Rhinolophus ferrumequinum: one gene and its partner. The protein of the gene in region 1 purifies or fractionates together with the protein of each later gene. This does not show direct contact. Links are inferred from orthologs where the notes say so. Each region holds a gene or a part of one and is shown on either strand. Other genes may lie near its edges.

What was found. Proteins that work in one complex are often made in the same cells at the same time.
Region 2: the proteins of PRKAG3 (region 1) and PRKAA1 purify together in Homo sapiens (affinity purification with mass spectrometry; 3 studies listed by BioGRID and IntAct, counting the BioPlex papers as one, with this or other methods). This does not show direct contact. The link is inferred for Rhinolophus ferrumequinum from reciprocal best matches to the Homo sapiens genes PRKAG3 and PRKAA1.

The regions. Positions count from the first base shown.
Region 1 is NC_046291.1:16,561,864-16,569,339, reverse strand, and holds the start of PRKAG3 (5'-AMP-activated protein kinase subunit gamma-3), read right to left. Parts: upstream 3,092-7,476; 5' UTR 2,989-3,091; intron 2,542-2,988; exon of another isoform or gene 2,523-2,541; 5' UTR 2,521-2,522; coding exon 2,361-2,520; intron 1,973-2,360; coding exon 1,569-1,972; intron 561-1,568; coding exon 479-560; intron 61-478; coding exon 2-60; intron 1-1. UniProt on the Homo sapiens protein: AMP/ATP-binding subunit of AMP-activated protein kinase (AMPK), an energy sensor protein kinase that plays a key role in regulating cellular energy metabolism.
Region 2 is NC_046290.1:27,139,473-27,146,415, reverse strand, and holds the start of PRKAA1 (5'-AMP-activated protein kinase catalytic subunit alpha-1), read left to right. Parts: upstream 1-3,928; coding exon 3,929-4,055; intron 4,056-5,230; exon of another isoform or gene 5,231-5,351; intron 5,352-6,943. UniProt on the Homo sapiens protein: Catalytic subunit of AMP-activated protein kinase (AMPK), an energy sensor protein kinase that plays a key role in regulating cellular energy metabolism.

The DNA of each region.
Region 1 (7,476 bases):
CCAGGGGGGACCTGTAATAGCGATGCAGCACCAGGATGAAGTCCGTGATGGTCAGCATCCCTGCAGAGTTGAGGGCGGTACAGGAGTGTTGGCCTGGGGCCTTGAGGTGGGAGGCAGGTGGAGGGGGTCATACTCCCCTCCCCCACCCCGCCAGTGTCCTAGTACTGAGACACAGTAGGAATTGTGGGAAGAGGGGAGTAGGGCAGCCTCTTCTGTGCCTGAGACATGGGGTGCTCCCTTTTTCCCTCTAATTCCTTTCCCCCCCTCTGCACATCCATTTCTATTCTCCTAATTTCTTCCGTTCCCTTTCCTCTTTTCCTACTGGCATCTATGACCTGAGACCACTGGGCAGTAGGGCTGGGGGGGCGGGGTCAGCTGGTCACAACTCTTTCACAAACGGGGAAATTGAACACAGAACCACCTCACAAGGTCCCTCCTTTCCCTTCCCCACCACCTCTGCCTCCCAGCCCCTCCTTACCCACAAAGCTCTGCTTCTTGCTGTCCCACAGAGGGGCTGCACGGACACCATTGGCCACCAGGGCAAAGAAGGCCTTTTTGATCTAGGACCAGGGAGAACAGTGGACAGGTAAGTCCCTCGCGGCCCTTCACTGGTCCCCTGTCCCAGCCAGGGTTTCTCGATGGTGCTTTCCTCCACACGAGTAGCCTGCCTTTCTCATGCCGTACGCACACCATACATGACCCTGTTGGGACATTTGCTAAAGAGATAAGGCTGCTGGTGGCCAGAGGCACCGAGCTGACCCCCTCACCAGGCACAGCAGGATGTAACTCGGTGTTTCTATTCAGAAGTCATATATGTACAGACACACATAGCATAATTTTGCTAATCTAAGTACCAGAGGTATAATTATTTACATAACATTTACAAAATATTTTTCTCTAAATACATCTTACATTGACTCATTTTGGCCTCATCCTAGGCAATGCTATCTAAACATGCTGGTTGTATTTTTCTAATACATGTCAAAATAAATGCAAAGCTACGAACATAAATATATGCATTCATATGTCACTAGAATCAAATCATGTCCTGTGGACGACACACATATTATGCTTTGGGAAACATTGCTCTACTATACATGACGACAGGGATGGAGTCATAGGCATTTTGTAGCTCAGCCTAATGGAAGAGCAGGGCCCAGAGCTCATCCTATTTATCTGGTACCGAGAGTCCCCTGTGCTTTGTCCTAAGCCATTCTGCAATGTCTTCCACGTAGTTCAGGGCTCACAAAGTGCTCCCATCTATCCTGGGCTGTCCCAGGAATCCTCCGAAACTTGCAGGGCAAAGCAGGCATTCCTATCCCCATTTTAGAGATGAGACAGGTAAAGTGCTGGACCGAAGATCTCACAGATACTAAGTGTCAGAGCTGTGATGACAGCTGGGGAATGCTCACAGAGAGCAGCAGCCCTCCCGCGCTGGTCTCCGTGGTGCTAAGAAGGAATTCTGGAAGGGGACTTGCAGGGGAGCCTGGCCTGCCAGGGTGTCCTGGAGGGTGTGAGCAGTGGTTGCAGCCCTGCAAGGATGGAGGTGAGCAAAGCCATGGCCTCACCTCCAGCGTGGTGTCGAAGATGACCAGCTTGGAGCTGGTTGCCATGGCATCGTAGCAGGTGTGCTTCTGCATGAAGTGCATGTAGACCTGGGCCTCCGGCTTCTGCAGCTCGTCGTCCCAGCCCTGCCTCGGTAACGGGGCCTGAGGGGACGGGCATGGAGCAGGCCTCTCCTCCACCAGGCCAAGCTCGTACCTGCAGGCTGCTGGGACTGACGACTCTTTGCCCAGTTCCAGATGGTCTGTGCTGGAGCTAGCAGCTGAGGCTGTACACTCAGTGGGGGGGATATCCCACTCTGTTAGTGGGTTGTCCACCCCAGCCAAAGGAGCAGCCTGGGCCAAGGGTGTTTCCTTGGGGAATGTGGCCTCCAGCCCAATGGACTCAGTAGCTGGCCTGGATTGGGGACCTGTTTGGGGGGAGAGGACAGTAATGCCACCTTCCAAAGCACCGTATCATCTGCTGTCCCAGTTTAGCCTCACAGCAGCTTCAGAACGCCTGGGTCTTGTGGGCCCCATTTTGTAGATGAGAAAGCTGAGTCTCAGGGAGTCACACAAGACAATGGCTCTGTCCTGAGTAACCCTTATTGGATTCCTGATTCTTCAATGCAGTTGTCCTTTCCAATGTGGGGAGACTGAGGCTACAAGATGAGGGTAGGGTCTAACATTGTGTAATGAAGGGATCAAGGGCAGAGCCCGGGCCCCAGGCCCTGGGACTCCCCAGTGCCCCCCCTGCCCCTGCCCACCCCCTTACTTCCCCCCCACCCCCCGTCTCACCAGAACTAGCCTTGGCCTCACCTTCATCTTCCCCCAGGCCTGGCAGCTCGTCTTCCTCCACAGCCTCCTGCCTTGTCCATCTTGAGGCCTTGGCCCCCCGTTTCCCACGACTCCTTTTTGAGCTGGTGGTCATGGCCAGTGATGACCATGAAGTGCTATTTCCTTGCTCTAGGAAGCTCATCTCTGGAAGGGGGAATGGGGCCTGTTTGGTTAATAGGGAGTAACATAACAAAATCAATGACAATGTTATTAATAATAATATTTAATATTTGCAAGCTTCCAAAATTTTTTCTCCAACATTTTTCTTATTCAAACCTCATAACAATTTTATAAAGGAGGCATTATTACTATCCCGAGTTTACTAACGAGGGACCTGAGATCAGAGAGGTTAAGCAATTTCCCACAGATCACACAGCCATTAGGTGATAAAATCAGAACTAGGGTCTATGTCCTCTTTCTCTTCTTTTGAAAGAGGAAGGAGGAGGTGAGGAAAAGGAGAAAGAAGAAACAAAGAGGAACAAAGAAAGAAAAGGGGAGGAAGACAAAAGCCAGGCTAGTGGAGTGGGTGAAGTTGGGGGTCCAGAGAGGTGGGGGACAAAGGAAGTGAGAAAAGAGGTTGGGGCCATGGGGGGGAGGCCGTGCCACCTACCTTGATGCTTGGGTCCCAGAGGGCTGCTCCAGGATGGGTTCTGTGGGGAGAAGAGGGTCTGAAGTGGTTGGGAAAATGCCCTCCATTCTGAAACACAGACCCTTCTCTTGCCACCGCGTGACGAGAGCATATACACACACACACCTCACAAACACACACATATATATAGAAACACATAAACACCCACCCCACAAACACATATAAACACACACCCCCGTACCCAAACATTGACACACACTCAAACCATTCCCAGACAAAGAACCACATACTCTCATGTCCACAAAGAATATATACACACAGACACCCATGTGCTCATGTACACAGAGAAAATCCAGGTCAGACACAAACGCGCGCACACACACACACACACACAGCGTGGTTTGCTCTCAGTCCCCTGGCCTCAGCTATCCCAACTCACTGCGTCCCCAGAGCCCCTGTACCCTGCGCAGTTCGGGCTCCATGCGGCCAACCGGACCAACAGAGAGCAAGTGTGCGACGCTGGCTGGGCTGCACTATTCTGGGCCCGGCCTCTGGCACCCTGCCCTCCGGGATCAGATTCTCACTGGGTGTCAGGCAGTGGGGAGGGAGGAATCCACCCACTCAGCAGCCTGGGGGCAGGGTGGGGAGGAAAGGGGCAACCTGGGATCTTGACGTCTGGTCCTGGGCTGCCTCCTGGGTCTCTGCAGACAAGTGGGAAGAACTCTCCCTCCGGCAGGGGAGGTGGCTTGAAACACTATGGGGGCACTGGGGCTAGGAGGAGGTGGGCTTGGAGTCCTGGCTTTCTCCGAGGGCCTCTCTCATCTTTGTCAGATGCCAAAGGAGGATAAAATGGAGGCAGGTTGAGCTTAACTTTCCTCCTTGTACAAACTTCAGTCATGGGTGGTGCTGGAGTTAGAAAGGGCAAGTGGCAGCCAGCTGGGAGGCTAGGGATAAGGGGTTTGAGGGTGGTCCCAGAAGAGGGACGAATATATGGCAATGTCCCCATTTGAGTCCCAGGAGCCTGTTCCTCTCTCTGATGGAGGAGTGGGTGGTTTCAGGCAGTTGGGGAGCTATGATGATCACTTTGAAGGTGTGTGGTGGGCTTGAGAGCTCCAGGCCTGCACTTGTCCACAGAGTGAGAGACACCTGTTTCTACCTGTCGTTTGGAGGTAGGTCCAGGTATGCAGGAGCCCCAGATCCCCAATCCTGTTGTGTGTGTGTGCTGTCCCTACATCTGGTGCCAACAGGATCCCCGCCCAGCTCTGGCGGCTGCCCACCCCCCCTTCTTTGGCATTCCTGGGGCCTGAGTCAGTGTCCAGATCAGGAATGCTGACCCAGCTGCTCTAGCTCCTCTCTCCGCCCTTCCCTTCCTCTCCTCCTTTCAGCTTTTTCCATCTCAGTCTCTGGCCTTGGAACAGCCACTCGGTAATGGATTACTGGATTTCTTTCTGAAATTATTGAACATACTTCCTGTCATCTCTCAAAACCCCTGTCCTACTTGTGGGGAGGGTGGAAGAGAAGAGAGCAGAGAAGGGACTTTGCCCATCCATGTGTGTCTTGGGTAGTACAGGGGGTGAGTGCAGCTCTCCTTCCACGGGATCCCCGTGGCCTCTTCCTGTCTGGTCTCAGAGGACGGAACTTCTAAGGCACAGCTAATGGGACACCTCAAGTGGACCATCCCTGGAGGTGTGCGATGCATTGGACCTGGAAAACCCCCACTCCCTTATGCTCAGGGCCACCTTCACAGCTAAGCCAGAAACAGAACAGGCTCAGCTCATACCATTGCCTTCTCCTGCAGTACTTCATGCTCCTCTCCTCCTCAGACATGGACCACCTACAGGGCCAGTAACGGGCTCCTTTTGAGAAGGCCTGCCCTGATTGCATCACCCTCACTGCATTGGGCTGATACCCAGTGTTCTGTGTACACATCTCAATGTACATTGGGCTGGCATTTATCTATCTATTCATGTGTGAATATCTTTTAAATAAACAGTGGGCACACTGATGACCAAATTTGTTGACTGGATGTGATGGAAAGCCCATTTTGGAGTCAGAGGACCTGTTAAGATGTATGCTGTACTGTTCGTTTGCCATGTGACCTTGGCAGGCATTGTTTGTTTTCTCTGAACCTGTTTCCACACATGTAAAATGAAGATAAAAACATTTGATGGCAGAGACTGCCAGTTGTCTCAGTATCTCTTTTTCTCTTCTTCCTTTAATAATAGAACCACTTGAATTTTCGCTGGAATGTCTGCCTATCATAAAGACAAATTCCCAACCTTCCCTGCAGCTAAACATGGCCTTCTGACTAAATTTGGCCAATGTGATGTGAGTGGCAGTGATGTGAGCAACTTCCAGGTCAGGCCTTAAGAGAAAGAAGCATGAGTTCCTCTCTTCCTTCTCCCCTTCTGCTGCCTGGAATGCGAATGTGACGGCAGGAGATAGTGCAGCTATCTTGTACCCAAGATATAAGATGCTTATTAAGGGATTCAGCGTCACCCTACCAGGTTTGGAATGTCTATAGACTACTATAAGAGAGAGAGAGATAAACTTTATTTTTTAAGTCATTCTTAAATTGGGTCTTTGCTACAACAACGAAACATGTATTCTAACAAATGGCATCAGTTTAGAGACTGGAGAGTAGATAGCAAAGAAAAATACTACATGCTGCTAAGCCGGTGACCATTGTTATATAGTACAGCAAAACATGTGGCATGTCTGTCATCCATGATACCTTGGAAAGTAAAGCGTATGCTAACAGAGCCTGGAAACACTCATGGAAATGCTCAGATTATTGATATACATTGGCTGCTGCTTGCTGCTATTAGCAAAGTCCTACAAGAGAGGTGTACTCAGGCTCGTTATAAGAGGTAGTTTTGGAGAGGCAGGCTTAGCAAGGGCTGAGCCTGTGGTCCCAAACCTTTCTCAAGCACACCCTGTTCAGCAAACAGTGGAAGCCGGCCCAGTGGGCAAAATAAGGAAGTTCTCTTCACCACCAAGCATGTTTTTACTTAGATGCCCTCAAGGTAGCTACCAACATTGGAGAAATAATAGAAAGTCCACCAAATCCAGAGTATTCAAGTATGAAAATAATGACACCATTGTCTGTGGCAACTCAAATACGGAACCGGTCAGAAGCCTTCTAAGATTGTTGAGGGGATTGTATTGGCAAAGAAACCATAAATCTGGTCAGCAAGGCCTGGTTTGACACCTCACCCCATCCCCCCAAAGTTATTCCCACTGCCCCAAATCTGCCGTAGCAAGAAGAGGGTTCTGAAAGTTTTAAGGTCTACAAGAAGGCAGATGTGTTCTCAGGGTAGCCGCAGAGGATACTGGGTAAGGAAAAACTTCCCAGAGGCCACAGAGGAGAGGAGAAAAGGGAGATCCTCCCAGAGAGCAGAAGCAGGGGTGGCCAGATGCACTGCCCAAGAATTTACCCCACTGTGGGGAAGAGGCTTTGCAATCCCTGCCCAACCGGATTTAGTAACGGTTAAGATCTAGTGACTGCCAGGTGTTTGCCATTCTTCCCTGAGGGGTGGTTTTAATTGAGTTTATCTTGTTCCTCTCCCACTGTTGTCTATGGGGAATAAGAGGGCCAGATTACCTGCCTTTTGGTTTACAGGTACTAGACCATGTACCTGTTCTATCCACACCTGGTCTGGATAGAACACTGCCTTGCTTCCCTTTGAGGGGTGCTAAATGTGCCCTTTGTAAGGAAGGGGTGGACAGATGTTGGGCTCTAGCAGCACAATATCTATTTTCCCCTTCTTCTACTAGTGAATCGCCACAATTTTAGCTAAGGGCAAGGTGTATTTCCCAGCTTCCTTTGCAGACAGGGTGGCTATGTGACTAAGCTTGGCCAATGGGATCTGAGCAGCAATGTTATACGCATGCTTTAAGGGTGTCCTTAGAAGAAAAGGGTTGATTTCTCCCTTCCTATTGACTGGAATTATGATTTGATGGTGGGAGCTGCAGTAGCCATTGGAACCTAATGGCGGAAGATGCAGGTTGAATATGATAGACCCTCCCCAATCCCATGCTGACCTGTCTACCTCTGGACTGTTATAAGGAGAAATAAACCTCTATCTTGTTTAAGCCACTCGCAAATGGAAACTTTGTTACAGCAGCCAAGCCCCTCTTTAACTAATGCATTTACATTGCGGGATTGGGGTAGGGTTAGATATGACGAGTGTGTGCACATATCAGGATGCGTCACATTTATGCAGTGCTTAATATCTACCAGACACTGCAAAACACATCGTGTGCAGTATCCCATGTGATCCCTCACAACCCTATGTGGAAATACTTTTATTATTATAATTTCACAGATGAGAAAATCAGGTCACAAAGAGATTAGGTAACTTGATCAAAATCTCAAAGCTAGTAAGATGGAGCTGAATTAAAACTGTGTTTCTAGGGGGCTGGCCCGGTGGCTCAGGCGGTTAGAGCTCCATGTTCCTAACTCCGAAGGCTGCTGGTTCGATTCCCACATGGGCCAGTGGGCTCTCA
Region 2 (6,943 bases), on another chromosome or scaffold:
AATGTGTATCTCTAGACTGACGGTTTTTTGGAGTATATTCCTGGATATCCTTACCTGAATGTCTCTTAGATGCCCTAACGTTATGAATGGATTCATTATTTCTATTGAACCCCTCTATTTCCCATCCTTCCAACAATCTCTCCAGAATCCTAGGAGGTAATTAAGATTTCTTCCTTTCTCTCTCTGTCCACATCAATCTCTGTACCTCGCTAATTCCACTTCTAAATACTCCTAGAGTTTTTCCTTTTCATACGTGGTGCTTGCCTCCTCATTTCTTCACTCGATGATTGCAAGTCTCCTGTTTTACCACCACTTTGGTCTTGCTCTTCTCCAGTATATCTTCCATACAAAGTGAGTTTAAAAATATATTTTTTTAAAGTTAATTTTTTTTGACTCTGTAATATATTCATAAGGTTTGAAAACAAAAAGTTGCAAAAGGATACACAGGAAAGTCTGCCCCTTGTGCTGGACTTAGTCACCCAGGTTCCCTTGCTAAAGGCACCAATAGCCATCAGTTTCTTTGGTAAAGAATGTATTTCTAAAATGCATTGACTTCACATCCTCCCATGGCTCATCACTGTAAGATAATGACCAAATTGAGAAGCGCACATGAGGCCTTTCAGGATTTAGTTCTGTTTACCTCTCCTTTCTTCTAAGGAGTCGCTGTGTACATCCAGATTTCATCCCCTGTAACCACTTGCTCTTCTCCACAAAGCCTAAGACTTCCTTCCCTGTGATTTTGCATATGTTGGTCCCCTTACTTGGGATGCTTCCTCCAAGTTCCCCGATACCCCATACCACGTTTTTCCTTGAGTACAAAGCACCATGTCTAAATACTCCCTTAAATGGATTCAAGTTCAAACTTTTGTGGACCTCCACTGATAAAGGTTATGCCCTCCTCTCATAATGCCCTTTTAGGACCATACATATATATTTTTATTATAGCACCTATGATATTGCTTTGCCTTGTTGGAGGCAGATACTGTGAACCTTTGCTTTTTGAGTCCTCAGAGTCGAGCAAACTGCCTAATGCCTACCTGGTTGTTGTTCAATAAATATTAGTTACAATGTAATGACAACTAAGCTAAGGAAATATTAGGCTGCATTAAAAGCAGTGTAGTTCTCAGAATTTTTAGTTCTGGACACCATGTTTAGAGATAGGCATTGAGGAAGTGTAATATCCACTTGACAGTGCAGGGTCTACTAACACTGTGACAGTCTTAAGAAAAGACTAAGGACTCACATCTCCCTTAGAATCTCTGAAGGGCTACAGAGCAAGCAGCTGACAAGTAACTAATGCTCCTCCGAGACCGGAGGTTCTCCACCAGCGATGGGTCCACCTGGTTGGTAGTCTTCATCAGCACTGTGATGTACTGCAACTTATTTGTGCTAATAAAAGCTGAAGTACTGAAGTATGAAAACTACTTTTTCCCCTCCTCTTAAACTCGAGTAGATTCAAGGCTACTTCTATAATGTCACTCCTGCCCACTTACATTCCAATATACTTTGCTTCGATAGTGGCAAAGCTGCAACTGATGGGTCCTGAAACTGGGTGTAAGCCAGTCTACCTTATCTTTGCTTTTACCCTGGAAAATGTTGAACATGTGAATATTATCTATCCTTGGGGAGGGGAGGGGGAACTGCCATCCCAGATTATGAGCTCCTCCAGGGTAAGGAACATGACTTTTCATTTTCTATCTGTCCACAGTGTCTGGAGGTTAACAGATGCTGGGAGAAAAGAAGGAAATGAAGGTCTAGACAATGGATCAATGGGAGAATTAAAGGAAGAGAGAGTGGAAGAAAATGTGACAACAATTTTTAAAAAAGAATGAAGGAAAGAGATAAAGCAAAGGATTAAAGGCAGCTCATTACTTTCTTAGAAACTGTTAACCGGATTCAGTTTTGAACACAACATAAGAAAAAAGAAACAGCAATAAAAGTTGCTTAAACAGACTATGGGAGATTGGATAAGATGGCTTCTAAGTTCCTATTCAATTCTTTGATCTATGATTTTAGGTTTTGTTTCCCCCAACAATGCTTTTGAGTAAATAGTGGTATTTAATGAATATTTATTAAATAGAATTATAATCTAAAATAATACAAAAGCAGAAACAAACTGATGTTTCTGCTAAAATATAGTCTATATTACTTTCTTAATTGGGTCTTCAAAGTTTCATAAAGATATTGGCAGTGGGTTTTCAAAATTCAACTTCAATTTGCTCCCTGGTAAGATGCTCTGTGGCTTAATTGGCACCCTATAGAGCTGAGATACCTTTTTTTTTTTCCCTTTTAGGTTAAAAGAAATAACAGAAACTTGCTGGGCTAAATTCTAGACATGATGCAAATTTAAAGTTAATTTAAGATGCTATTTCTGGTGGGAAAACTTAAAAGTTTTTTCCTCTAAGAGAATCCAGAGATCTCTTTCTGCTTTGTAGCTATCCAAAGAGCCTGAGCTGCAGAAACTCTCAAGGCAAATGGGTAAAGGTGAAGAAACCAGAAAGCAAAAATTACAACAGTAACCACTGCCTGCCCACCCCTCCCCCGCCCCAAATCTCACATCAAAGATTTCTTAACATTTTTGCCCTTCAAAATATGTGCTGTTCATAGTAGAGTAGGAACTGATGATCTACCCAAGGAGAGTTGTAACTGTTCTCTGCTTATTTTATGTAATTCTAAACTCAAATGCTTTTGCTTCTCCTGCAGCACCTTGCTTGGATCAAAGCAGTTAAAACATGGTACTTTGATGTCATAAACAGAAAGTATATAAAAATCAGGAGAGTTGGGTAACTTTCACTAGAAAAAAAGGTGATATTTTTAGTCTTTTACTTTTTATACTATTTTCATGATGAGTTCAACTCTGCCTGACACTAGCCCAAATGCTATGACACTGCAAAATTGAGATCCTATAAACTGTTGTTGTTGTTTTTTTTGGGGGGGGCACTTGATTTTTGTCCATGTTAGGGGATTATAATTGACTAACAAACTCACTTAAAAATTCTATTACAAATAAGTATACTTTCTCAACTTCCCCTCTGATATGGCGTGATCCCATTTGTATTGATAATAGACTAAATCTTACTCATTTCTAGTACAATAAATATTTGTCAACTGATCTGGTTGATGCAACAGTAATCCTTGTTTTCAGTTCAGTTCAACTCTGTATTTTACTGATAATCTAAAATAGTAATTCCTATACATCTCAGGCCCCGAACACAAATACGTATCCCTAACCTGTTCCTTCCGACAGAGTTTGCTTTGGGGAGGAAATTTCAGGAAAGCGTCCAGCAGGAAGAGAGACCGGCAACGTTACTTGAGCTGTCCAGGTGCCCAATAGTAACAACTTCTGGTTCACAGTAAAAATAAAAAGAGACGCTGGAGACCGGGAGGGAGGGAAGACAGGAGGCGATGGAAACTATCAAAGATGCAAGTGACAACTCCCAAAGGTTTCTAGATCCCACCGCGAAGGGAAAACCAAAAGGTTTGACGACAGTGGCAGTGCGGTATCTCCAACCAGGTTCCAATTCGCGCTGCACGAGTAACAAGCCGTCCATCTGCCCTACCCAAGCGGGCTTCCCCGTGCCCATCTTCCCGCTTGGAATCACAAGGAGAGCGGCTCCCCCACCCAGAGTAACACTTAGACGCAGAGAGGAAAGGAGCCAGGGGGCTGCCGCGCAGGTGGGCGGGCGCCCCAGGCCGAAGGGATGCAGGGCGAGGAAGGGGACACCGGTGCCCCTCCTAGCGACCCCCTCCCGCCCCGCCAGGGGGAGCGTCTGCGCCCGACGGCGGGCGGCGGGGCCTCCGCGGGCTGCGCAGGGCGGCGGCTCCGCGGCGCGGCTGCCCTCCCGCGTCCCCACCCCCTCCCCGCCCGGCCGCCCGCCCGCCCCCGGCGCGGCCCTGCCCGCCCCCTCCGCCCCCCTCCCGCGGCGCCATGCGCAGACTCAGTTCCTGGAGAAAGATGGCGACAACCGAGAAGCAGAAACACGACGGGCGGGTGAAGATCGGCCACTACATCCTGGGGGACACGCTGGGAGTCGGCACCTTCGGCAAAGTGAAGGGTGAGGACCCCCGGGGCAAGCCACGGCCCAATCCCAGGACCCAGGCGACTTCCGCTTTTCACACCTCTTCATCCTCCCCCGGCCCCTGCGTTCCTCGTCTCGGGCTCCGCAGCCCCGGTCCTCCCGCCGGCGGGAGCGGAGCCCAACGCGGCCGCCGGGCTGCGGCGCGGCCCTCCCGGGCCGGGTGGGGGTGGGGTGGGGACCGGTCACCATGGCGACGGCGGCGCCAGGGGCTGGTCCGTGCGAGGGGCGGGGATGCGGAGGTGCGAACTTTCTCAGGTGGGCGGTCGGGGGCTGCGCGGCGCGCTCCGAGTGCTGGGTGGGGGCGTCGGGGTCTCCTCCCAGAGCCCCGGGGAACAGAGGCTGTTCTCCCTCCGCTCAGGACCAGCCCATCGGTTCCCTGGCATTCTTTAGCATTGTCCTTATTTCTGTCCTCTTTAGAAAGGCTGTCTACTCACCTGTTCAGGCTGATTCTCCAGTGTGAAATCTGTTAGCACCAAAGTCTCGGGGTAGCTTAGAGAATCATTTAAAAAAAAAGAAAAAAAAAGCCATCTTGTCGGAAAGGATAACTAATTTTTTTCGGAGCAGTTAATGAACATAAACTGGTCCAATACTTGTGATGCATGGTTTATATTCAGAATGCAGACTCCGTGCCTTTAGTGTGTCTGAATTACCAGTTTTGCAGTCTGTATGCCAAACCCGGTAGTTAGTGCAGATGTTGCCTCCAGATAGTATATTAGTTCATTAATGCAGCTCCTTTCCATGTGTTTTCACGGGGTATTTATATTTTAATGAACAATTTAGTGCACATCGTTTGATTTTTTTTTTTTTTTTTAAGAAAAGTGTGGACTCTCTTACCCTTGTGTTTCAACACGGTATTTGAAAATAGCAAACTTGCTCCAATCTACCAATTGTGGCACAGGTTTAATTGCAAACTTTGTGACGCATAATTTTTTTAGGTATTTGACTTTTTTATTAGGGATGATGCAAAGGAAGGAAATACGGAGCTGATAATAATTCATGGAAAGGCTTTGAATAAATAATAGTGTGTGACTTGACTATACTAAGCGCTAGGTAAATACTTAAAAGAAAAAAAAGTTTGTGAAAATCTGTACAGTGAATTAAATTAGTCTTGCTCTACCAGAGCTAAATAAACATTTTCTGATTTTATCTAGGGATGGAAGAGGAGAACCCTTCCTTCTCTTGTCCTTTCTGAGTCATAGAACTGGAAAATTGCTGTATAGCTCACAGGAAGCAACTGCCTAAACCTTGTGAAAAATCAGCAAGGCCTACAATGTAAGAAAGTAAGAAGCAAATGCCAGAATAGGGTAATCACAACCATTAGGGTGGGTCTGTATTAGGTCAGGAAGATGTTTCTGTGTCCTTGAAGTTACTTATTTTGGCTGTGCTGTCTCTATTTTTATGTTAGCGTTTCCAAACTTTTCTTTTAATTTACAAGTAGGTACTGTGTTTCCCCCAAAATAAGACCTAGCTGGACAAGCAGCTCTAATGCATCTTTTGGAGTTAAAATTAATATAAGACCCGGTATTATATTATATTATATTATGTTATATAATAAAGATATATAATGTATTTATATATTATAAAGATAAAACATATTATATAAAGGTATAACACTATAATATATATTATAAAGGTCTTTAATGTAATGTAATACTGGGTCTTACATTAATTTTTGCTCCAAAAGACGCATTAGAGCTGATTGTCCAGCTAGATCTTACTTTTGGGGAAACACGGTATTTGTAAGAAATGCTCATTAATGCCCGCAACATAGTGATGACAATCTTGATGTCCACCCCTCCCAGAGTTCTGCTTGGATTAGGATGCTCATCATTCTCCTAATACAGATCTGAGCAGAGTCAGGTCTCATTTTCTTTTTTGCTAGGTGGCTTTTGGCATGGCAGATAGGAAAGCAAGAGGAAATTTTTTTGTTTTCTGGATTTGATCTGTGATGTGGCTTTGACATGAATCCCTCCAGTGACCGCTGTTCCTTAACCTTCACTCCTCCACATGTGCCTCTGTTGAAGTGTCCCACACACTGTCAAAGTCAGCAACCTCTCCAAATGTAGCAAGGACAACAGTAGTCAAAGGATCATAGGTTTCGTAGGTATGGTTCAATTTGTTCATAAATACATTAGTTGATGTCGGTCAAAATCCTCAACCAGTGCATTTTTTAAGTTGTTAAATAGGTAGGATGCTTTTTGCCCCACGTAATAGAAAATCCAACTCAACCTAGCCAAGAAAATCTCTTCCCTTGGTTCTCTCCAGAGCAAGGAAGTCCCAGCGTACCTCTCATGAGTCTTGTTGGTTTATCCAGTCCCTCTGGCCTGGGATGCCTTGTGCCAATGGCTTAGGCCTGTGTTCCTAAGTAGGCCCTAGCAAGGGAGATGGAATTACCCTTGGGGGAATATGGCCCACTCTTGGATATATGTGTGTGTGTGTTGGGGGGAGGGCATTTAAAAAAAATTATTTTTCAGTTGCAGTTGACATTCAGTATTATTAAGGGCATCTTCTTCTGAGGTACTTGGATGGTGTGAGGGGACAGGATAGATACCTACACAGAAATGGGTATTAATTATTAGGAGAGAGACGGGTACATAGATGCTCAGTGAGCAGACAAAATTAGCTAGTTTACTGGTGACATTGGTATCTTACACTGGCCTTAATTTGGTAAGAATTTTTATGACTAATATGATTAGCCATATATTTCAATGGAGACAATTTGGAGTAGATAGAGCTTTTAAAACTAAATATATTGGTGAATTAATCATAGAAAAGAAATCTAGATGTGATAATGCAATACAGAAAAATTCCCAATGTAATAGTCCACGCTTAGAGGAAATTTAATTTTTGGGAAGGAGTGGACT